Linked DNA regions of Mus musculus: all the other regions are reported to be linked to region 4. Evidence: microRNA targets listed by miRTarBase, many of them from high-throughput screens and not tested one by one. Region 4 holds a microRNA gene; each other region holds the end of a gene's coding sequence.

What was found. Region 4 holds the annotated microRNA mmu-miR-466e-3p (UAUACAUACACGCACACAUAAGA, at 2,909-2,931, opposite strand). A microRNA usually pairs through its seed, bases 2 to 8, with sites in the 3' UTR of a target mRNA and lowers its output. Matches are read on the target gene's strand: a 7mer-m8 pairs with bases 2 to 8, a 7mer-A1 pairs with bases 2 to 7 and ends in A, and an 8mer does both.
Region 1: the mRNA of Fbxo45 is a reported target of mmu-miR-466e-3p. Seed matches in the 3' UTR shown: 8mer at 1,191-1,198.
Region 2: the mRNA of Slc7a11 is a reported target of mmu-miR-466e-3p. Seed matches in the 3' UTR shown: 8mer at 5,155-5,162.
Region 3: miRTarBase lists Ccna2 as a target of mmu-miR-466e-3p. Seed matches in the 3' UTR shown: 8mer at 2,692-2,699 and 7mer-A1 at 2,912-2,918.

The regions. Positions count from the first base shown.
Region 1 is chr16:32,230,462-32,233,461 of GRCm38, forward strand. Fbxo45 (F-box protein 45) reads right to left here. Exons shown (of 3, transcript NM_173439.2): 3 at 1-2,807. The coding sequence ends at 2,622. Among named protein-coding and RNA genes, the nearest start is that of Gm25848, 12 kb to the right of the region's middle.
Region 2 is chr3:50,368,203-50,374,866 of GRCm38, reverse strand. Slc7a11 (solute carrier family 7 (cationic amino acid transporter, y+ system), member 11) reads left to right here. Exons shown (of 12, transcript NM_011990.2): 12 at 2,501-6,664. The coding sequence ends at 2,565. Among named protein-coding and RNA genes, the nearest start is that of Slc7a11, 72 kb to the left of the region's middle.
Region 3 is chr3:36,561,577-36,568,240 of GRCm38, reverse strand. It overlaps Ccna2 (cyclin A2), which reads left to right. Exons shown (of 9, transcript NM_009828.3): 6 at 310-517; 7 at 1,128-1,241; 8 at 1,567-1,700; 9 at 1,959-3,376. The coding sequence ends at 2,007. It overlaps Exosc9 (exosome component 9), which reads right to left. Exons shown (of 12, transcript NM_019393.2): 9 at 6,077-6,223; 10 at 4,984-5,168; 11 at 2,945-3,023; 12 at 2,514-2,812. The coding sequence ends at 2,734. Among named protein-coding and RNA genes, the nearest start is that of Ccna2, 8.1 kb to the left of the region's middle.
Region 4 is chr2:10,477,851-10,484,514 of GRCm38, reverse strand. Mir466c-1 (microRNA 466c-1) reads right to left here and starts at 2,981; the gene lies at 2,898-2,981. The region is part of intron 10 of Sfmbt2 (Scm-like with four mbt domains 2); the gene reads right to left. Mir467b (microRNA 467b) reads right to left here and starts at 3,267; the gene lies at 3,195-3,267. It overlaps Mir669a-5 (microRNA 669a-5), which reads right to left and starts at 2,754; the gene lies at 2,668-2,754. It also overlaps Mir669j, Mir467a-2, Mir466e, Mir669a-4, Mir467a-3 and Mir466c-2, and 1 more gene.

The DNA of each region.
Region 1 (3,000 bases), not on the chromosome of region 4:
TGAGTGGGGCAAGAACTTCCTACTTTGTAGGTGAGAAACTTCTAGGTCAAATTCGACACAACTGCTCTCAACCTTTGGTAGCATTCTGAAACCAGGGCATTTTTAAATCCTTATGGTCGGAACATATCCCAGTTCTGACACCAGGATCAGGATACGGACCCATCCACAGTACTTTTAAGCCACTCTGAGATCTGGCCATGTTTGAACAGCACTGACTCAGGTGACTCATACTCAGCTCAGGTACAACTGTGTCTTCCATGTGCTCTTTACGCACCACCAAGAGCACGACCTCCTTTAACACTCAGCAGTTTACCTTAATGATCTGGGCAGCCACTACTTATCTCACTAACAAGATTTCTAGTAAATAGATCAGGCTATAAATGAAGGTTCTCTGTTCTCTAGAGGCCTGTCCTGACTAGGAACACTCAAATCGTTGAGCTAAAATGGCTTGTTGTTCTGGGAATGGTAGCATTCCCTCTAATCCCAGTTTTGGGGAGGTTGACGCAGGGAGATCGCTGTGAGTTCAGCTTTTAAAAAAACCAAAATCAAAACAAGACACAGAAAGAGTGGGTTGGTGTTAAATTGTTAGACAATTATCCGACTCTAAGTTCAATGAGGAATGAATAACCATGTGATTTTGTTTTCCAGTCACCACCTTCAAAAACTTGTTGCAAATGAACATTTACCAACAACAAGACAAAAACAGAAGTTCTGAGTCAAACTCATGAGAACTTGAGGAACTGTAATACCCTGAAGATGCAGCGAGTAAGGACCACCCGCACCTTTTAACTAGTCAGTCTTCATCCTTACCCAGGTCTTTAATCAATTTTTAAGTGCCACCAAATTGAGTTGTTCTAGAGCAGAAAAACAAACAAAAAACCCACAAAAAACAAGAAAAACAAAACAATTCCTGGGCCAGCTATCTTCCCTAAAACGTTTAACATATAATTCCACTTTGTACAAGGTTTCTTCTTGATACAGATTATCAAAAAGAATCTTTAACAAATTTCTTTTTCAAGCAACATAGCAAATATACAATAAATACATGTAACCCTTTCAGGAGGCAACTACAGACCGTCCTGTGGCCAGTCTCCTGTTTCATAGCAGTTTTGACAAATTTAATTCTCAAGGACCCCAAGAACCCCAGCGAGTCACTCTCTGTCCCTAATTTTATTAGATTTAAAACAAAATATACATACAGCAATCATGTAAAAAGTACAAAGATTTTACTTGCCTTCATCAATTCTTATGTATCTAAACCATATTAATTATACTTTTATACAGAAAGACGTTTCTGTTCTAACAAAAGGAAAACAACCAACAACCACCTCAGCCCATGTGTTGAGTCACTCCAGAGAGTATTAGTGAGAAGGTTACGGGTCAGAATAGGAGCTGACGTTCACTCTTGCCAAGGAAGCTTTCATGGTGCTGCCAACCTGAAGGTTTCAGCCTTAAGTCCCATGGGGCAACACCTAGGTGACTAAGAACACTCCTAACCTGGGCTCAGGCTGGCACTGTCTCAGGTGGGTGAGTAAACATTTGATGACAGCCCCAGTGGAGACTTTGAGGCTTCGATTGTTGTATAATGTAAACAATATGAAATTAAAAATTCTTCATAACAGCTACAGCATTATAAAGTTAAGAAATGAGAGAATGGCTGACCATGTGTTTTCCTAGGGTTTATACTAACAGCGCTCACACTGAGTTCTGTAAGATCAGCTGAGACTGTTCTGTGTGGAGACCAGTTTTCTCAGAAGGCCAAAAACTAAGCCAGATGCCAAGAGGCACGTTCCTATCTATCACTTCTGAGTCAGCCTTGCTGGCATGTGCACAATGCTAAGTAGATCTGCTTCCCCAGGCGTTAACCATTGAGGAACCTTTATCATAATCCTGTTATAGCCATGGACTATAAGCCCAAAACACTATCAAATGAACCAGTACAACATGTCTCCTCTTCTTTTCTCTGTTACCCTACTATCCCCAAATGTCACTGTAATTTTGTACCATGTAGTGATTTTTAAGAAATTGAAGTAGAACAAAGCAATGCCTTTGTCCCCCCCCCCTTTTTATACAGTTTTTACACACATTATATATACAACTTTTAAAATAGCTGCACAATTTTATTTCTCATTGCTAGAGAAGTGCAGTCCAGGCAGACCATGCTTCTCAATATATTAAAAATATTAAATAAAACCCAGCCAGTTTCATACTTTCTAAGTCAAGCTGGCTAGAAATAAAGGGACTGGAGAAAGAACAGGCAGTTGTAAGATGGGACCGAGCCTTCTCCATCAACACTACATAAACCCTTGCGATTCCCTCCTATGGCATCTCTACACGCTCACCTTTAAGCTGGAAGTAACACACTGCTAACTTAGAGAAGACGCTGTGGCAACATGCATATGTCAACTGCCCACTCAACCAACTGCAACCCTGAGGATTTTCTGGCCCAGTGGAAAGAGGAAACGCTATGATCACTCTGTGGCAGAGCTGCTTCTCCAGTTCTCAACTTCACGTGTCTTCAGGATGTTTCTTGGGCATGCACACATGATACTATCACTTCATGGTTCTACTTTCCACAAGTAGATCTCTTCTCCACTCTTCTTCTTTCCAGAAAGTCACTGTCATCCATCCAGAGGTTTTCCAAGATAAACCAAAGTCACTTCTGTGTTGCCATATACTGCAGAGACAGCTGGGTATAAGCAGGCTTTTGGAAGTCCTCGAAAGGCAACCCCCAGGAACTCATACCCACGCTCAAAAGCTAAAGTCTTATCCTCCATGTCCAGGATGACTCGGATTCTCTCTCCTATCTGTAAATAGACATTACAAGGTTAGCAGGCTATCCAGCAAAGGCATGGCTAGAAGAAAGTGGATACAAATCAGGAAGTGGAAAACACACAGAGAACCTGTACCTTCTTGATGAAAGAACACACATTATTCTCCATACACATTTATTTTAACTTTGTTTCTTTTCTTTTTTTTTTTTCTTTTTGATTTTTTCAA
Region 2 (6,664 bases), not on the chromosome of region 4:
ACCATTCACCTCCTCCCCCCTTTAAGAGAACATACTGTTATTTTTAATATAATTTCTGGGGCAGGATAGCTTTGCACTGCTTCCCAGGCTAGCTCAATCCTGGCTGTTGATCCTCTGCGGATCCCAGGCGTATGTGTGGATGAGATTGTGCAAAGTCAGTTGTAGCCCTGGTTTCCTTTAAGAGTAACAAGGATGAAACATGGAAACCGAAATCACTGACTGGCTGTAAGGTTCTGTAGGTTGTAGTTATGGAAAACTCCAACTGTAGGTCATCAGCTTATCTTTATTTGAAAAGGCAGTAATAGAGATTTGTTATTGTATGGCCACTAACCTTACTGTGAGTATGGATACATAGCACTCCAAAAGTCACGTGTTCTGTAGTGTTTCTAGATGCTTCCTTGGTTCCATTGAGCACCTGTGCCAGCCCCACTGTTGTAGGTCAGCTTAGGAGGAAAAGTGGGGAAACCAATATGTACCTCAGGCCAAATGCCTATCTGAGCACTCCATCATGATAAACGTTACGGCACCACTAGGACCCCAAAGGGAGAGCTGGGGAGAATATGTCAACAGGGCTGGCTAGGCTGAACCACCCACTCTGGGTCTTGGTCTTGCTCTTGCTCTGCTGAGAGAAGAATGGAAACTGTGCTTTCAGAAGGACACAGGGCCATCCCAGTTGCTACTGTTGTCTGGAATGGATGCAAAGTTCCCACATCAGGGAGCAAGAGATCTAACAAGGCAGCATATAGAGACCTACATTAAGGCAAAGCAGTAGGAAAGAGCTTTGATGTCAGGAGTGGAGGACCAAGTGAGAAGACAGGATGGAGAGATTAGTTTAGGAGGTTATGCAGGAGTTTGAGCAGGGCTAACAGGGGCTTGAGGCCTTGTTTCTTTAACCCCATTGCTTGTTCTCCCTCTCTCTCTGTGTCTCTGTCTGTCTGTCTGACAATTTTACCATATTCTTCTCTGCAAATATGGGGTTTGATTGTTGCTTTCATGGCAGATTGGACTGTATAAAATACAACTTATTTAAGAAATATGTAAGGTATAACATTTGACATTACTGTACATGAGACCTCTCTAAATAAACGTAGGGTTAAAAACAAGCAAAAAACAAAACATCCCGCCTCCAAAGAAAAAAACCCATGGGATGTCCCCAGGCAAACTCCCTCAGTGATTATTACTGTATTTGTTTGTTACTTTTCTTTGTTCTGCAACAACATACCAGGCAAGAGGCAGTCTAAGGGAGGAAGGATTTTTGGTTCATAGTTTGGGTGATGACAGCCCATCCTGGCATAGAAGGCACAACTGCTGGGGTTTCCCGGGTGTCTGGTCCACTGTCTTCAGCAAGGGAGCAGAAACCAAGGAGAGGTTTTATAGGAAGTAAGGCTGGGCCATAAAGTCTCCAAACCTGCCCTCTTAACCTGCATTCCCCAGTGAGGCTGTACCCGTACACCTTACACAGTCTTCCTAAACAGCACCAACAAACAGATGGGGGCCAAGTGTTCAAAGGAGGGACATTTAGCAACACCACAAGAAGCAGAGAACAAAGGATAAAAATAGCTTTTAAAAACGTAGTTAAACATCGCGTGCAAGGGCTTGTTAGAATAAGAAGTCATCAGAGAAGAGAAAAGTGTCTGGAGGGGAAATGATTTGGGTCTGGAACCTTGGAGAGGATGCCACATAGGCTCCTTTAAGATCAGGAGACTTTGGAAGATGTTCTATGGGGACTGATGACAACAAGAAAACAAGAATGTCCGTAAAACCATCACCCCCAAGCCCAGCCCCCTAGCTCTGTGGTCAGAACATATTCTTAAAAGTAATACAAGCCAGGGGTTATTATATTTTGGTGTCCATTCGAGTTACCTCTTGCTGGGTTAAACCTTTAAGAGACTGAGACCTTGACTTGAAGCAAAATCTGAATTGTGGAGAGTGTTTAATGTAATTGGTCCAAGGACCAGACCTTAGTGACCCAAATTAGTCCAAGTTTCTCATTCTACTCATGAGACAGACTAGGTCTTGATAATTAAGATAATTTGCTGAACAGTACTACAGATTAGACACTGGAAATACTATTCTCCTCCTGACTGTTCTGAGAACTTGGTTGTTATCCCCTATGTAAAAAAAAAAAAAAAAAAAAAAAAAAAAAGAACAAACCCATTTTGAGCTGAACATGAACATGAAGAATATTTGTAAACATTTATTTATATCTTGGTTCCATTGTCTCAAAATATTTTCAGCCTCCTGGTTCATAAATAAATTTTCTTATTTGAATACAAAATATTAATATATTCTTACTGAGAAAGCATCATGGGATGTTGTAGTAGTGACAAGTCAACTAATTGAGGATGATAGGATTGTAATGAAGTAAATAATTCTCGGAAGTGCTCCGTGAAGAAGGGAGCTGTGTCTTCTCAGTATTCATCCCCAAATAATTCACATTTTGCTATTTTTATGCCACTGTGATTTTCATGCATTTTAATTTCTCCTTATTTCTTTATAGACAGAATAACCAGAACATTACAGATTATACTAGAAGTTGTACCAGAAGACTCTAAAGAATTATGAACTTAATGCATCAAAAGCTTGGCCATCTGCCCAGGATTGAGATACAAAATGGATTTTTATTTCAAGAAAACACAACGTTGATGATGGACTAAAGGAATCAGTTATCTCTATTCATATCCTCTAGCGTATTCAAATTAATTTCTGAGCAACTTACTGGTAACTCCATGTATTTGTAGCAAGCTAATATGCAAGTCATACAGTGAGGCAAGCTCACAGTTCTTGAGTCTAGTGCCTATCTGCTGGGGGGAAAGGAAAAAAAACCTAAGGGCTTTGGTACCTGGGCTATCATTCCTCTACCACGTTTCTTATCATGACTGAGAACCTTGAACAGAAGACCAAAATGGTTTCTGTATATATGAGGTCTATAAACATAGCTTTACCTACTGGGGACATCTATACTGTGAAAGTATTTTGTTTTTTATTTTTCTGGAAAAAAATGTCATTATTGTAGCAAAGAAGGTAGAATGACTTTGATATTGACATTGGACTCTTTTCCCTTAGTGATCAACATGGCTGTCACTTATCTTTCAATGGCTTATACTCAGAGCATCAGAACAAAAGATGAGGGAGTAGTGTGTGTGAGTGTGTGTGTGTGTGTGTGTGTGTGTGTGTGTGTGTGTGTGTGTGTGTGTGTGTGTAGCTTGAGATCAAATTCAGGGCTTTACAAAAGCCAGACAAGCACTCTACCATTGAAATACACATACACCCTAATTTTCCTAAATGCATAAAATAAGTATTTCCAGGGGTTAGTATTCATGACACAATCCTAGGAACTATGTTTGTACTAAAATCATTGAGAACTTGTTAGGTTAACTTCATCATAGCTCATTGTGAGGAAGCTCGGTGTTTGCAACATCACTGTGCATTCATTGTGGTTTGTTTTTTTCCTGAAAATGTGTACAGTTTGGTATGCTATCCATTGGTGAACCACCTCTTTGATAATTTACTTCTTGGTGGACAAAAATGTTTTCCTCATCACAGTACAACATCAGCATGGGAGACATTGCCCATAAATCTCCAAGTATCAGGCTTTCTCTTTATGAGCCCCATTTATATGCAGTGTTAGTAATTACTCACTTTTACTTTGTGGCTGTTTTCACCTGGTGATGAGTTTTTGACAGTGTGTGCATTCTCTTTACAGTTCTGTTAAAATATGCCTCTGGTTAAAACTATCTGGATCAATTAGGAAAAGTGCAGATTTACATAAAAACTATGAACGAAATGCCACTGCTTCGTGAAAATCTAGGCTGTTTCAGTCATTTCTTCACTTTAGTTATAATTCAATTTGCAAAAGAGGGAGATGTGACCAAACCCATTGAAGGAGAGTCTTCAGTACGGTTGTTCAGCTAGCTACATATGTTAAATCAGAGTTAGAAAACAGTAGCCATATTCAAATGGAATTAATGCAATGGTGGGATTTTCAAAATATTTTTCTAACATCCAAAAATTAAATGCTCAGCATAGTCACAGTTAATTTCATCTCTTATATTCTGACCACGTAAAACCACAATGTTTTAAAAAATTATCCTGAACTGGGCATTGGCCAGGTCACCACCAAGTACCACAGTGGGAGGCTGGTAGTTAATGCCAACCTTGAAGCCAGTGGGGCACCAATCTATAAACTGGATGCTGTGCTTGGTCTTGATGGTGGCAATGGCAGCATTGACTATTTGGGACCCACATAACCACGGTACAGCAGGCAGCAAGCCATGTATTTACCATGGCAAGGGTCATATTTCACCATCTGGTTGGCTGGCTCAAAGCAGGCATTGGTGATCTCTGCTACAGAAAGCTGCTCATGGTAGGCTTTCTCAGCAGAGATGACAGGGGCATAAGTGGCCAGAGGGAAGTGGATACGAGGGTAGGGTACCAGGTTGGTCTGGAATTCTGTCAGATCAACATTCAGGGCCCATAATCAACGGAGAGACACTCCATCAGCAGGGAGGTGAAGACAGAGCCAGTTCCCCCACCAAAGCTGTGGAAAACCAAGAAGCCCTGGAGATCCGTGCACTGGTCAGCCAGCTTATGAATCCTGTCCAGGACAAGGTCAATGACCTCCTTGCCAGTGGTGTAGCGGCCACGGGCATAGTTATTGGCAGCATCCTCCTTGCCTGTGATGAGCTGCTCAGGGTGGAAGAGCTGGCAGTAGGTGTCAGTGAGAACTTCATTGATGACTGTGGGTTCCAGGTCTATGAACACTGCCTGACGCACATGCTTGTCATCTCCTGTCTCACTGAAGAAGGTGTTGAAGGAGTCATTTCCTCCCCCAATGGTCTTGTCACTTGGCATCTGGCCATCAGGCTGGATGCCATGTACCAGGCAGTAGAGCTTCCAGTAGGCATTGCTGATCTGGACACCAGCCTGGACAACATGGATGGAGATGCACTCACGCATGATATCAATTGCTTAGAGGGTGAGGGTGAGAGAGAGAAGCAGACACTGGGTCTCGATTACCATTCCCGACAACTAAGAGTCGACATAAGTAACGCAATGAGGCCATAAAACAGGTTTTAAATTCAGGAATACTCCTCCACACTTGTAATATGTGTTTTTATACAAAGTAAATGTTTCTCATATTTTAGATTTATATATGTATATACACATGCAATTACATGGGTCAATGTTTGTGCTGATGTACATATTCGAATGTTTATATAAAACCATGATTTGAGTATTACAACACCAAGCTAAATGCAGCCCAAACAGTTTAAAATATACAATACTCTATTTTCAAATATTCTTTGTTTAGTATACAAAGCACCTGACATGTAACTTTTAAAGCATCTCATAAAGATTTCCAATGCTTAGATGCAATTTTATTCTCCTTGCATGATTATAAGTATTTCCATTGACTGATATTCTTATAGCACTTCTTTATCTCTTCTTTAAAGCAGTAGATTCTCTCCTTTGATTTTAAGTGGCTCTTGGAAATGGTTGGCTCTGCTCAGCAGACAACAGGTCCTGCTCTTGTCTTTTATCAGGAGATTGAACATTTCTCTTAGTAAGCATGGCTGGGTCCAGGTCCATTTGTGAGGTCATGAGTGTCCACCCACAGTCTGTGCATATTTTCTCCCCAGCCCTGCAGGTACAGGATCAGGACAGCTGATAGGGTTATTTCTCTGTGCTCTGCAGATACTATAACACTAAAACATGCATATAGGAACATTCTGCTTTTCAGATTGCCTTACGTGTGTCTGCTTAGATTGTTTTCTTAATTGCCATTTGAACAGCAACAGATGGTTACCATGAGTACAACTCTTTACTAGACGTCATAGTAAGTTGAGATCAGCCTTTGGGAACTCCCTGTTTCATCTCAATTTATAGGTGAATGGGATGCTAAGAAAGCCTGCTTCTCTCCCTTTTTTTAATATCTGATAACTGAGGTGTGAAAAGACAACCCAAGGTCCCTACCACATTTTACCATCATGCCACAAAGAAGGGAAATTTTAATGCTTGTCTCTTGAATGTAAATGAACACCCTGAGAAGCTAATGAGACAGGCATTTGGGTGCCTCCAATGCACCTAAGCTCCTTCCAAGACCCCATCCCTAGCACTCACTTGCAAAGATTTTATATTTTTAAAAGACCAGGGATTGGGGCTAAAGAGGTGGCTTGGCTTCGAAGAACACTTAACACCTTTACAGAGAATACATATGGCAGCTATCACCATAGGTAACTACAGTTCCAGGGGACCCAGTGTCCTCTTGTATGTACAGGCATGCACATAGTGCACATATATCCATGCAGACAAAATACTCGTATCTATTAAATGTATGTGAAAAACTTTTAGAAACAAGGAAAAGTACATAGACTTTGGACACTGTAATATCTATATTTTCTTTGTGAATAAGGTAAAAGTAGTCCCCATTATCTTCCCATTAGAAGTAATCATAGGATATTTGTAAAACACATGTTAAATATATAAATTCTATGTTAATTAAAATATACACATAAAAACCACTAGTGGCTGTCTCATAAGTTCTATGTGATACAGAAGTCAGTGATGTCAACTGGGTTAAGTCATGAATAATAGAAAAGAAATGAATGAGGTTTTATTTGTAGTTTTTTTTTCTTTCCTTATTTTTAGAGAGAAATACATT
Region 3 (6,664 bases), not on the chromosome of region 4:
GAATGAGCATAGGCCAACCACATTTTATCACACTAGATTGAGTTTGAAAGTGTGGCTCTTCTACAATAAAGTGCTTTCTGGGGTATAAGCTGTATCTTCCTTCTATCAGGAGATATTGTATGCAGGGGGCGAATCAGAAGTCCTTTAGTGACTTGGGCCTTTGAATTGGTTTTAACCATCTCAGCTAGAGATGTCAGTCAGCTGTCAGTGGGATGTGGTTGATGGAAGTGAGTGGAGTCTACAGTCTTTGCACTTCAGATTAAGACAAGACCTTCTGAATAAACTCACTCACAACTGCTTTTGTTATAGGAAGTTTGAAGAAATATACCCCCCAGAAGTAGCAGAGTTTGTGTATATTACAGACGATACCTATTCCAAGAAGCAGGTTCTGAGAATGGAGCACCTAGTATTGAAAGTCCTTGCTTTTGACTTGGCTGCACCAACAGTAAATCAGTTCCTTACCCAGTACTTCCTGCACCTGCAGCCTGCAAACTGTAAGGTTGAAAGCTTAGCAATGGTAAGTCCAGTTTGGGGGTTGTTTTTAGGTTGCAATTAAGGGGCAAGCACTGGTTTCGTCAAATAACACTGCTTAAGTCTTTTCGGACAGTTAATGCTCCAATACACAGAAAATGCTATGGCCCTCTCTACCTGTGGGCTCTGCACTTATGGTATAATAAACAGGCATTAAACGTAGCTGCCCATGTACTGGATAAGCACACACCAATCATATGTGTATTGTCTATTTTGTTTTACAAGTAATTCAGTGATATTCTATGTATATAGCATTAACTTATGAAAATAGCATGCATCTTTTATATGTAAGAGATTTAAGTATCTAGTGTCCATGGATAGGGGCTGAGAGGTTCAGGAGAGAACTTCCCAATGAATACACAAAAGTGACCATGCTGGAAAGGCGCTAACTAGTGGCTTAAAGAGAACAACCTAGTATATTAGGGGAGAGAAATGTAAGCTGAGAATAGAGGAAAACATTGAAATAATTTTCCCAGGGCTGATACAGAACCAGTGAGATCCAAGACAATGGAAACTGGTCAGGAAGCAAGGATTCAAAATCTTGAGTCTTATGTGTGATTATAAAAGTTGGGGTTTTGTTTTGTTTTTTATTTCAGTTTTTGGGAGAACTGAGTTTGATAGATGCTGACCCGTACCTTAAGTACCTGCCTTCACTCATTGCTGGAGCTGCCTTCCACTTGGCTCTCTACACAGTCACAGGACAGAGCTGGGTGTGTATTACCAGTTGCCTTCTCCAGTATGGGTGCCGCTTTGATTTGGGCTGAAAGCTTAGCTGTAAAGGTGCACTGAAAGCTCTGCTTCAAGAATCTGAGCCTTCCACCTGCTGCAAGCAGGGGAAGTAAACAGCCAAAATAAAAGATGGAGTGAGTGAGCTGAAACAGGGGGGACACCCTGAGTGAAGAATTGAGGAGGGAGCAACATTTAGAAATAACAAAACATCCTGTCAATGATTAGTGCCAATATTTAGATCAACTGTGAGCTTGTGGTCAGTGCCCTGTGCTGTTACAAAAAACTCAATGGTTGTCCCTTCCCTAGCCTGAGTCATTGGCACAACAGACTGGATATACCCTGGAGAGTCTTAAGCCTTGTCTTGTGGACCTTCACCAGACCTACCTCAAAGCGCCACAACATGCCCAACAGTCAATACGGGAAAAGTACAAGCATTCAAAGTAAGAATCCAATTCTTGTTGAATACAGTAACCTGCCACTACCTCAGTTGGCTCTTAAGTCATGTATTAGGAAGCTTTTGTGCCTTTGCTTCTGGTAAGAGAAGGGTAAGGGGGCAGATGTATGTGCTCTACGTATCAAATGTTTTTAAATTCATAATCAAGTAAAAGTAGCATTTCTCCAGTCTTGGGGTACATGAATTGTTCTGTAATCTCCCCAATGAATGTTTACTAAAAGTTTTTTTTTTCTCTGCTCAACAGATATCACAGTGTTTCTCTTCTCAACCCACCAGAGACACTAAGTGTGTGAGTGAAAGACTGCCGGCTTTGTTTGAAACAGGAGTCGCTCGGAGTCCATGCTGTACAGTTTTTATGTCGGGTTTTAGTTTCACAATCACTTCTGAATGTAGATGGTATAGCCACAGACAAATTATGGTATCCATTGCTTTTAAAATGGTTTTAATTTGTATATCTTTTGTACATGTGTCTATTTGGATAATTTTAATTGGTTAACATTGGTGCTGCCAACTGTCAAGATATTGAGAATAAACTGATTTGGAAATCTTTGCAAGTCAAAGTTAATCTGAGATAAAAATATGAATGATGTCGTTTAGAAACTAACTTGATTTGTTTTATTGTACAGTGGGGAGTAGGAAAAGATTTTATAAAACTAAAATATTTCAGGGAAAAAGACCTTCAAATTCTGGCATTGATTGATTATTCTAAGCAACCAAACCAAACTGCTGACTTGTTCATAAATAACCAAAAGTAGACAAACTGTTTTCAATGTAGCAGAACTCATTCGGCTCTCAGATGTTACAGTAGTTTATGGAGACATTTTATTTATCAACTTTAACAAATAAGGTCTTACATGAGTTGGGAAGCTTGTGCAACAGAAAAGTTTTCCAGAAAGTTTATTCAAAGCATAATGTTAAAGACAAACAGTGTATCAAGAAGTTCAGCTTGTAAGATACCCAGAGCTGTTAGCACTGAGTATGTATACACACACACACACACAGAGATCCACCACTTTAGCTTAGTTAGCAGTTCTCTTCTTCTTCTTCCTTTTCCCTTGGCCTTTACTTGGTGCCTTCTGGTTTGCACTGGTCTGAGCTCTGTGAATGAAGTAATATAACAGCTCACTGTATCCCATCTGTCCTGGATTGGGTCACTGGGACTCTGAAAGGTGCCCCATTTTATAGAACCAGCTTTTAATGTATATTTGAAAGAGGCCAGAAATTTGTTACCTTATTTTCTTTGGGTTCTTCTCTGGCTCCAAAATAATCATTTCTTCTTCTTCACTATCTGATAGCACTATAGGGGCACCTTTGGAAAAGTCCAAAAAAGGAGTTTACTGCTTAAGCACATCAGAGGTCCTAACGCTCCCATCTCCAGGCTAAGGGAGCTCCCAAGCTCTACTGCCCGGAGGCTGACACTCTTTCCGAATCTTACCCTGTTCTAAGTAAGTAGCTCCTTGCAGCTCTGAAAATTTGTAAAAATTGATGTTTTCTATAAACTCTTTCTTTCCTTTTTCCCCAGAGGACATGTAGGCCAGAATGCTCTAATTCTTGCTACCAGGACTGCCCATGAAAAATGTAGAAAACTGCTTTGTTTGCCCATTTTTCTCTTGAACAGTAATTATATATGTGTGTAAATAAAGCATGCAAATTAACCCTTTACCCATTTGGTGGGCTGTGTGTTGTCTCATCTTTATTCACATGTTTTAGGAAAGCTCTACCTTCTTCACTGTCCTACTTATTTTAGGTCCACTTTCATTGCTCAGGGTTCTTAAAACCACAAACAAAAAGCCTCTATGAAAAGAGATATACAAGTGCAAAGATATACTAGCACCGTAATAGTGAGAAGATAAGAAAAAGCATTACTGATGATTAAACCAACTGGATGATTCTCTATGCAGCATTTAATAGTCCTAATTAATTAGGATCTTTAATTTACTCATTTATCTGGTTAAACCAACATTGTTCCCCTGCCAAAACAATACCACCAAAAGGCTGTAAGTAGCAATTCCCTTCTGTTAACAGTGCATACTGCTATGAGTTCAGGGAATAGCACTCACATGGGGGCAGCTCACAATTGCCTGCAACTCCAGATTTGATGCCTGACTCTAGCCTTCAAGGCACTCATTTCATACATAGGTAGCACACATTTAGTGACGTCTTTAAAAGCATGTACCTACAAAAGAACCAGAGTTTGGTTCCTGGCATCCATACTGAGCTGCTCACAACTTCCTGGGACTCCAGCAAGTTCCTCTGAACTCCCTATGCATGCCCTGGCATACTGGAGCACACACATATACATAAGACCTTTCTGGGGGCTTCTAAAGTTTCCCACATTCTAACATACCAATGTGGCCATACTAACTCAGATAAGCCACACTTAAAATGTTCAATAGTGGGCTGGTGAGATGGCTCAGAACTAACTGAGAAGAGTACTGACTGCTCTTCTGAAGGTCCTGAGTTCAAATCCCAGCAGCCACATGGTGGCTGACAACCACTCGTAATGAGATCTGATGCCCTCTTCTGGTGTGTCTAAAGTCAGTTACGTGTACTTAGGTATAATAAATTTAAAAAAAAAAATTGTTCAATAGGTGAAGCTGCTACCCTAGCCAATGTACATAATTTCTTACCACAGAAAATTCTACTGTGCAGTATCTCTGTGTGTGCGTGCTAGCATCCACAGAGGCCAGAAGATGGCATCAGTTTCTTGGAGCTAGAATTATAGAGAGTACTGGATTATTGTGATTGAGCTTCAAGTGTCTCCAGAGCTGAACCATCTCTCTGGCCTATTTCATGAGCTTTTTTATATTTGAATCAAACTAAACAAGGCTGTTGGCAGGAAAGAAATCTTTAAGAAAAATCTTTAAGTGCCCATGGACATATTTTTGTTTGTTTTTGAGACAGGATCTCTAATCCTGCTGCCTGAAACTCCCTATGTAGAAATGTTCCTGCCTATGCCTCTCCACAGTGCTGGGATCAAAGGCGTATGCCACCACACCTGGCTACATGTAATTTTAAAAAATTGTTCAAAATATCACTAGTATGCCAAAGCATACCACCAGTTTACAAAAATAAAAACATTCTTTACAACTGGTATTAATATTTCTATTCAATCGTTTAATTAAAATTTAGTTTCAATGCTAAAATATTTAGCCTTCCAAAACAAGAAATATCCCTATGTATGATCTATAATCTCCATACAAAACTTTGTCTATAGTTTAAATATCTCAATTGTGGCTGTCTCTGTACACATTAAAAGCATCACCTACCTTGACTCCCAATATCAGAAACTTCTCCAGTGTCCATCTTTGTATCATCAAGAATGACAGCTTCATCAATGCCACCTTCCTCCTCTTCCTCTTCCTTCTCAGAATCTTCAAGGTCACCCCAGGAGTTTTCTATTCCGTCTCCAATCTGGGCAGTTCCAGGAGTCCACAGCACAGGTTGAGAAACACTTTAACAAGTTAAGAAAACTGAATATCCAAAACACTGTTATTTAATGAGCTACCAAGAAGAGATCAGATTTCCTGGAAGACTGTTTCATGTGTTCCATAAATTCTTAGGAATTAATATACTATGGACTGCTAAATAACATAACTGCACATGATCTCAAGATTATATAACAATGCATAAAGAACTTGGCCATGTCATTAACACTGAAGTACCATTTCTCAAAGGGAAATGAATGCTGGCTTTGGTTTGTATTTTCTTACAGTGGTGAAATGGAACCCAGGGCCATAAACAGCTAGAAAAGTGCAGCACCAATGATCTACATCCCCCAGCTTTTAGTTGGGTTTTTTTTTTTCCAAGACAGAGATTCTCTGCATAGCCCTGGCTGTCCTAGAACTCACTCTGTAGACCAGTCTGGCCTCGAACTCAGAAATCCGCCTGCCTCTGCCTCCCAAGTGCTGGGATTAAAGGTGCGCGCCACCACGCCTGGCTAGTTGGTTCTTAAAATAGAAAAATGTACGATTTTTAGATAGGGAAGAGAAGCTAGATGTTACATTATTAACTCAGTTTGGCATATTTTTCTCTTATAGTATGGGGTCCCCCAAAACAAACTTCAATATGTACACTCTAGCCTTAAAGAAACAAAACAAAACAAAAAACTTATGCATCTGATTACTGTAAAACCCACCCAATAGGGGCTGGTGAGATGGCTCAGTGGGTAAGAGCACCCGACTGCTCTTCCGAAGGTCCAAAGTTCAAGTCCCAGCAACCACATGGTGGCTCACAACCATCTGTAACAAGATCTGACTCCCTCTTCTGGAGTGTCTGAAGACAGCTACAGTGTACTTACATATATTAATAAAATAAATCTTAAAAAAAAAAAACAAACCCACCCAATAAAGATACACTTACACTTCTGGGGGAGGTTCAGCTTCAGCAATAATTTCTTCTGCTCTCTCCTCTATGTTGGAGGTATCAATAGGGGCCGTCTCCATTTTAAACGCTGTGATTCTTTGGTTTGCTATAGACTCTGCAAAGCCAAATTTTCCACCTTCTTTCCTGTAGATGGAATTTTGGTAGTGGTGGTTTTGAAGATAAAAAGACAAAAGAAAAAAATTAATTTTTGTCCTTGATAGGTAAATAGACTTGCTTCATTACTAGACTTTTGATAGCTTTAACTAAACTTGACACAGCCTAGAGTCACTTGAGAAGGGAGGCCTTGACCAGACCAAAAACTATCAGTGAGGGAGTATCCTGACTGTTAATTACGGAAGAGGGCTCACACCACTGTGAGGGGCACCATTCCCTGGACAGGTGGTCCTGGGCTGTCTAAGAAACGTAGCTAAGCATAGGCCTGTGGGCTGACATCAGTATTCCTCTGGATCTGCTGTAGCTCCTTGGCTCTGGGTGAGTTCCATGACTAAGAGAATGCTACATGGGTAGTGAAGAAGCCTAATGCCAGGTCCCTTACCACTAGAATACTACCACAGTAACCGAGAC
Region 4 (6,664 bases):
ATGCACATACAAGTAAGCACACATGCACATACATGGGTTGCATGACATTAATACCAAGATGATCTCCAAATGAAGTTAAGCTTGAATTTGCAATCCTTATCCTCCTGACTTTGTCAATCTTTTACACCTGGTGAGTGAGTCCATTCAATGTCCCCTATTGCATAATCTCTAAAACTCTACATCACTTATCATTCAAAGGGATTGGCGAATGCCATTCCTGTGTCTGTGTATGTGTGCTTGCGTTTATACGTGTGTGTGTATGTTATGTATATTCAAATATAGACATGAACATGCACACACAACTATACACACATGCACATACATGGAGGAATCACAGGCTGATCTCTCATGAGGATAAGTGTAAATTTGAACTCCTGATACTCTTAACTCTAGCAAGCATTTTCACTCTAAGTCACTTATCATTCAAATGGATTGACGAGTGCCATTCCCCTGTGTCTGTGTGCTCATATGTGTCTTATGTGTGCGTGTATGTATATGTATATCATATTCACATATGTACATGCACACACACATCAACACATATACACATACGTAGGGGCAATCACATGAATGCCAGGATGACCTCTAACTCATCATGCCTTTACTATGAACTTGCACTCCTGATCTTCCCGACTCTACCAAGGGTTTTCCCGTGGTTTGTGAGACCTCACCCTGGCCCAGTCATACATAACCTCCAAAGCAGTAGGTCACATATCATTCAAATGGATCCGTGAAGGCCATTTCCGCATGTCTGTGTGCATGTGTGTGTAGGTGTGTGTATGTATATGCATAAAATATACACGCATATACATGCAGGCACTTACGCACACGGGCACATACATAGGGGCCATCACATTATTCCAGGATGATCTCTAACTGCTCATGAAGTTAAGCATGAAATTGAACTCCTGATCCTCCTGACACTGCCAATTATTTACACCTGGTGAGTGAGACCTTCACTGTCCCTCTACTTTATAATCAGCAAAATTCTAAGACATATATCATTCAAATGGATCAATGAGTGTCATTCTTATGTGTGTGAGTGTGCACGCCTGTGTGTGTGAATACATTTGTATGTGTGTGTATTTATATGTATGATCATATACACACATGTACGTGCACACACAATTATATGCACTTGTGCATACCTAGGATCCATCACACAAATACAGGGTGATCTCTAACTCATTATGAAGTTAAGCATGAATTTGAACTCCTGAGACTCCTAACTCTGGCAAGTGGTTTTCATCTGATAAGTGAGATTATTCCCTATACCATGAATATACACTCAATGAAATTATAAGCACGTATAAATCAAATGGATGACTGCCATGTGTGTTTGTGTGCACATGTATGTGTCCCTAGTTGTGTGGGTGTGTATACATATATATATATATATATATATATGCATGTTCATATACGCGCATGTACAGGCATACTTCCCTATACACATAAACACAAACACAGGGAAAATCACATGAATTCCGGGCTGATCTCTAACTCATCATAAAGTTAAACATGAATTTGAACTACTCATCCTCATGATGCTGGCAAGAGTATTCACCTCCTAACTGTGTCATAGCTCAGGCCATTCGAGGGAGTATGTTTGCATGTGAGTATATGCATATTCATATACAGAAGTGAATATGTACACAACTATACACACATGCACATTCTGGTGGGCATCACATGAATCGCATACTGAACTCTAACTCATCATGAAGTTAAACATAAATTTGAATTCCTCATCCTCCTGACACTGGCAAGAGTACTCACCTCCTAACTGAGACATAGCTCTGGCCATTCCTATGAATGTGTGTGCATGTGTGTATATGCATATTCATATAGAGAAGTGAATATGCACACAACTATACACACATGCAAATTTTTGGTGGGCATAAGATGAATCCCATGCTGGTCATGAACTCATCATGAAATTCAGCACAAATTTGAACTCCTGATCAACCTGACTCTGTGAAGGGACTTCACCTGCTGAGTGAGACCTCTCCCCATTCAGTACTGAGGAATCTTAAAACTCTAAGTCACACGTCATTCAAATGGATCGATGAGTTGCACTGATGTTTGTGTGTGTGTTTCTGTTTGTGTCTGTGTACATGTATATATTTGTGTAGATAGGTACATCCATATACTCAAATCCACACACAATAGAAACAGATACAGATAGAGATACATAGGGGGCATCACATGAATCCCAGGCATATCTTAAAGTCATCATGAAGTAAAGCATGAATTTGAACTCCTGATCCACAATCTGTCACACCTGGTGAGTAAAACCATTCACTGTCCCAAACTGCATAATCTAAAACTTTAAGTCACATATCATTCAAACGTATAAATGAATGCAATTTTTTTCTCTGTGTCTGTACTTGCATATACACGTGTGTTTATATTTTGAATATCATGTCAACAGAGGCAATGCATATACAAGTAAACACACATGCACATACATGGGTGGCCTCATATGAATACCAGGATGACCTCTAACTGAATTAAGCATGAATTTGCAATCCTTATCCTCCTGACTTTGTCAATCTTTTACACCTGGTGGGTGAGGTCATTCAATGTCCCCTATTGCATAATCTCTAAAACTCTACATCACTTATCATTCTAAGGGATTGGCGAATGCCATTCCTGTGTCTGTGTATGTGTGCTTGCGTTTATACGTGTGTGTGTATGTTATGTATATTCAAATATAGACATGAACATGCACACACAACTATACACACATGCACATACATGGAGGAATCACAGGCTGATCTCTCATGAGGATAAGTGTAAATTTGAACTCCTGATACTCTTAACTCTAGCAAGCATTTTCACTCTAAGTCACTTATCACTCAAATGGATTGATGAGTGCCATTCCCCTGTGTCTGTGTGCTCATATGTGTCTTATGTGTGCGTGTATGTATATGTATATCATATTCACATATGTACATGCACACACACATCAACACATATACACATACATAGGGGCAATCACATGAATGCCAGGATGACCTCTAACTCATCATGCCTTTACCATGAACTTGCACTCCTGATCTTCCTGACTCTATCAAGGGTTTTCCCGTGGTTTGTGAGACCTCACCCTGGCCCAGTCATACATAACCTCCAAAGCAGTAGGTCACATATCATTCAAATGGATCCGTGAGGGACATTCCCGCATGTCTGTGTGCATGTGTGTGTTGGTGTGTGTATGTATATGCATAAAATATACACGCATATACATGCAGGCACTTACGCACACGGGCACATACAAAGGGGCCATCACATTATTCCAGGATGATCTCTAACTGCTCATGAAGTTAAGCATGAAATTGAACTCCTGATCCTCCTGACACTGCCAATTGTTTACACCTGGTGAGTGAGACCTTCACTATCCCTCTACTTTATAATCAGCAAAATTCTAAGACATATATCATTCAAATGGATCAATGAGTGTCATTCTTATGTGTGTGAGTGTGCATGCCTGTGTGTGTGAATACATTTTATATGTGTGTGTATTTATATGTATGATCATATACACACATGTACGTGCACACACAATTATATGCACTTTTGCATACCTAGGATCCATCACACAAATACAGGGTGATCTCTAACTCATTATGAAGTTAAGCATGAATTTGAACTCCTGAGACTCCTAACTCTGGCAAGTGGTTTTCATTTGATAAGTGAGATTTTTCCCTATACCATGAATATACACTCAATGAAACTCAAAGCACGCATAAATCAAATGGATGACTGCCATGTGTGTTTGTGTGCACATGTATGTGTCCCTAGTTGTGTGTGTGTGTGTGTATACATATATACATATATATACATATATATATATGCATGTTCATATACGCGCATGTACAGGCATACTTCCCTATACACATAAACACAAACACAGGGAAAATCACATGAATTCCGGGCTGATCTCTAACTCATCATAAAGTTAAACATGAATTTGAACTACTCATCCTCATGATGCTGGCAAGAGTATTCACCTCCTAACTGAGTCATAGCTCGGGCCATTCGTGGGAATATGTTTGCATGTGAGTATATGCATATTCATATACAGAAGTGAATATATACACAACTATACACACATGCACATTCTTGGTGGGCATCACATGAATCGCATACTGAACTCTAACTCATCATGAAGTTAAACATAAATTTGAATTCCTCATCCTCCTGACACTGGCAAGAGTACTCACCTCCTAACTGAGACATAGCTCTGGCCATTCCTATGAATGTGTGTGCATGTGTGTATATGCATATTCATATAGAGAAGTGAATATGCACACAACTATACACACATGCAAATTTTTGATGGGCATAAGATGAATCCCATGCTGGTCATGAACTCATCATGAAATTCAGCACAAATTTGAACTCCTGATCCACCTGACTCTGTCAAGGGATTTCACCTGCTGAGTGAGACCTCTCCCCATTCAGTACTGAGGAATCTTAAAACTCTAAGTCACACGTCATTCAAATGGATCGATGAGTTGCACTGATGTTTGTGTGTGTGTTTCTGTTTGTGTCTGTGTACATGTATATATTTGTGTAGATAGGTACATCCATATACTCAAATCCACACACAATAGAAACAGATACAGATAGGGATACATAGGGGCATCACATGAATCCCAGGCATATCTTAAAGTCATCATGAAGTAAAGCATGAATTTGAACTCCTGATCCACAATCTTTCACACCTGGTGAGTAAAACCATTCACTGTCCCAAACTGCATAATCTAAAACTTTAAGTCACATATCATTCAAACGTATAAATGAATGCAATTTTTTTCTCTGTGTCTGTACTTGCATATACACGTGTGTTTATATTTTGTATATCATGTCAACAGAGGCAATGCATATACAAGTAAACACACATGCACATACATGGGTGGCCTCACATGAATACCAGGATGATCTCTAACTGAATTAAGCATGAATTTGCAATCCTTATCCTCCTGACTTTGTCAATCTTTTACACCTGGTGGGTGAGACCATTCAATGTCCCCTATTGCATAATCGCTAAAACTCTACATCACTTATCATTCAAAGGGATTGGCGAATGCCATTCCTGTGTCTGTGTATGTGTGCTTGCGTTTATACGTGTGTGTGTATGTTATGTATATTCAAATATAGACATGAACATGCACACACAACTATACACACATGCACATACATGGAGGAATCACAGGCTGATCTCTCATGAGGATAAGTATGAATTTGAACTCCTGATACCCTTAACTCTAGCAAGCATTTTCACTCTAAGTCACTTATCACTCAAATGGATTGATGAGTGCCATTCCCATGTGTCTGTGTGCTCATATGTGTCTTATGTGTGCGTGTATGTATATGTATATCATATTCACATATGTACATGTACACACACATCAACACATACACACATACATAGGGGCAATCACATGAATGCCAGGATGACCTCTAACACATCATGCCTTTACCATGAACTTGCACTCCTGATCTTCCCGACTCTACCAAGGGTTTCCCGTGGTTTGTGAGACCTCACCCTGGCCCAGTCATACATAACCTCCAAAGCAGTAGGTCACATATCATTCAAATGGATCCGTGAGTGCCATTCCCGCATGTCTGTGTGCATGTGTGTGTAGGTGTGTGTATGTATATGCATAAAATATACACGCATATACATGCAGGCACTTACGCACACAGGCACATACATAGGGGCCATCACATTATTCCAGGATGATCTCTAACTGCTCATGAAGTTAAGCATAAAATTGAACTCCTGATCTTCCTGACACTGCCAATTGTTTACACCTGGTGAGAGAGAATATTCACTGTCCCTCTACTTTATAATCAGCAAAATTCTAAGACATATATCATTCAAATGGATCAATGAGTGTCATTCTTATGTGTGTGAGTGTGCATGCCTGTATGTGTGAATACATTTGTATGTGTGTGTATTTACAGGGATGATCATATATACACATGTACGTGCACACACAATTATATGCAAATGTACATAACTAGGGTCGATCCCACAAATCCAGGGTGATCTCTAACTCATCATGAAGTTAAGCATGAATTTGACCTCCTGAGACTCCTAACTCTGGCAAACAGTTTTCATTTGATAAGTGAGATTTTTCCCTATACCATGAATATAAACTCAATGAAACTCTAAGCACGTATAAATCAAATGGATGACTGCCATGTGTGTTTGTGTGCACATGTATGTGTCCCTAGTTGTGTGTGTGTGTATATATATATATATGTATGTATATATATATATATATATATATATATATGCATGTTCATATACGTGCATGTACAGGCATACTTCCCTATACACATAAACACAAACACAGGGAAAATCTCATGAATTCCGGGCTGATCTCTAACTCATCAAAAAGTTAAACATGAATTTGAACTGCTCATCCTCATGATGCTGGCAAGAGTATTCACCTCCTAACTGAGTCATAGCTCGGGCCATTCGTGGGAGTATGTTTGCATGTGAGTATATGCATATTCATATACAAAAGTGAATATGTACACAACTATACACACATGCACATTCTTGGTGGACATCACATGAATCGCATGCTGAACTCTAACTCATCATGAAGTTAAACATGATTTTGAACTCCTCATCCTCCTGACACTG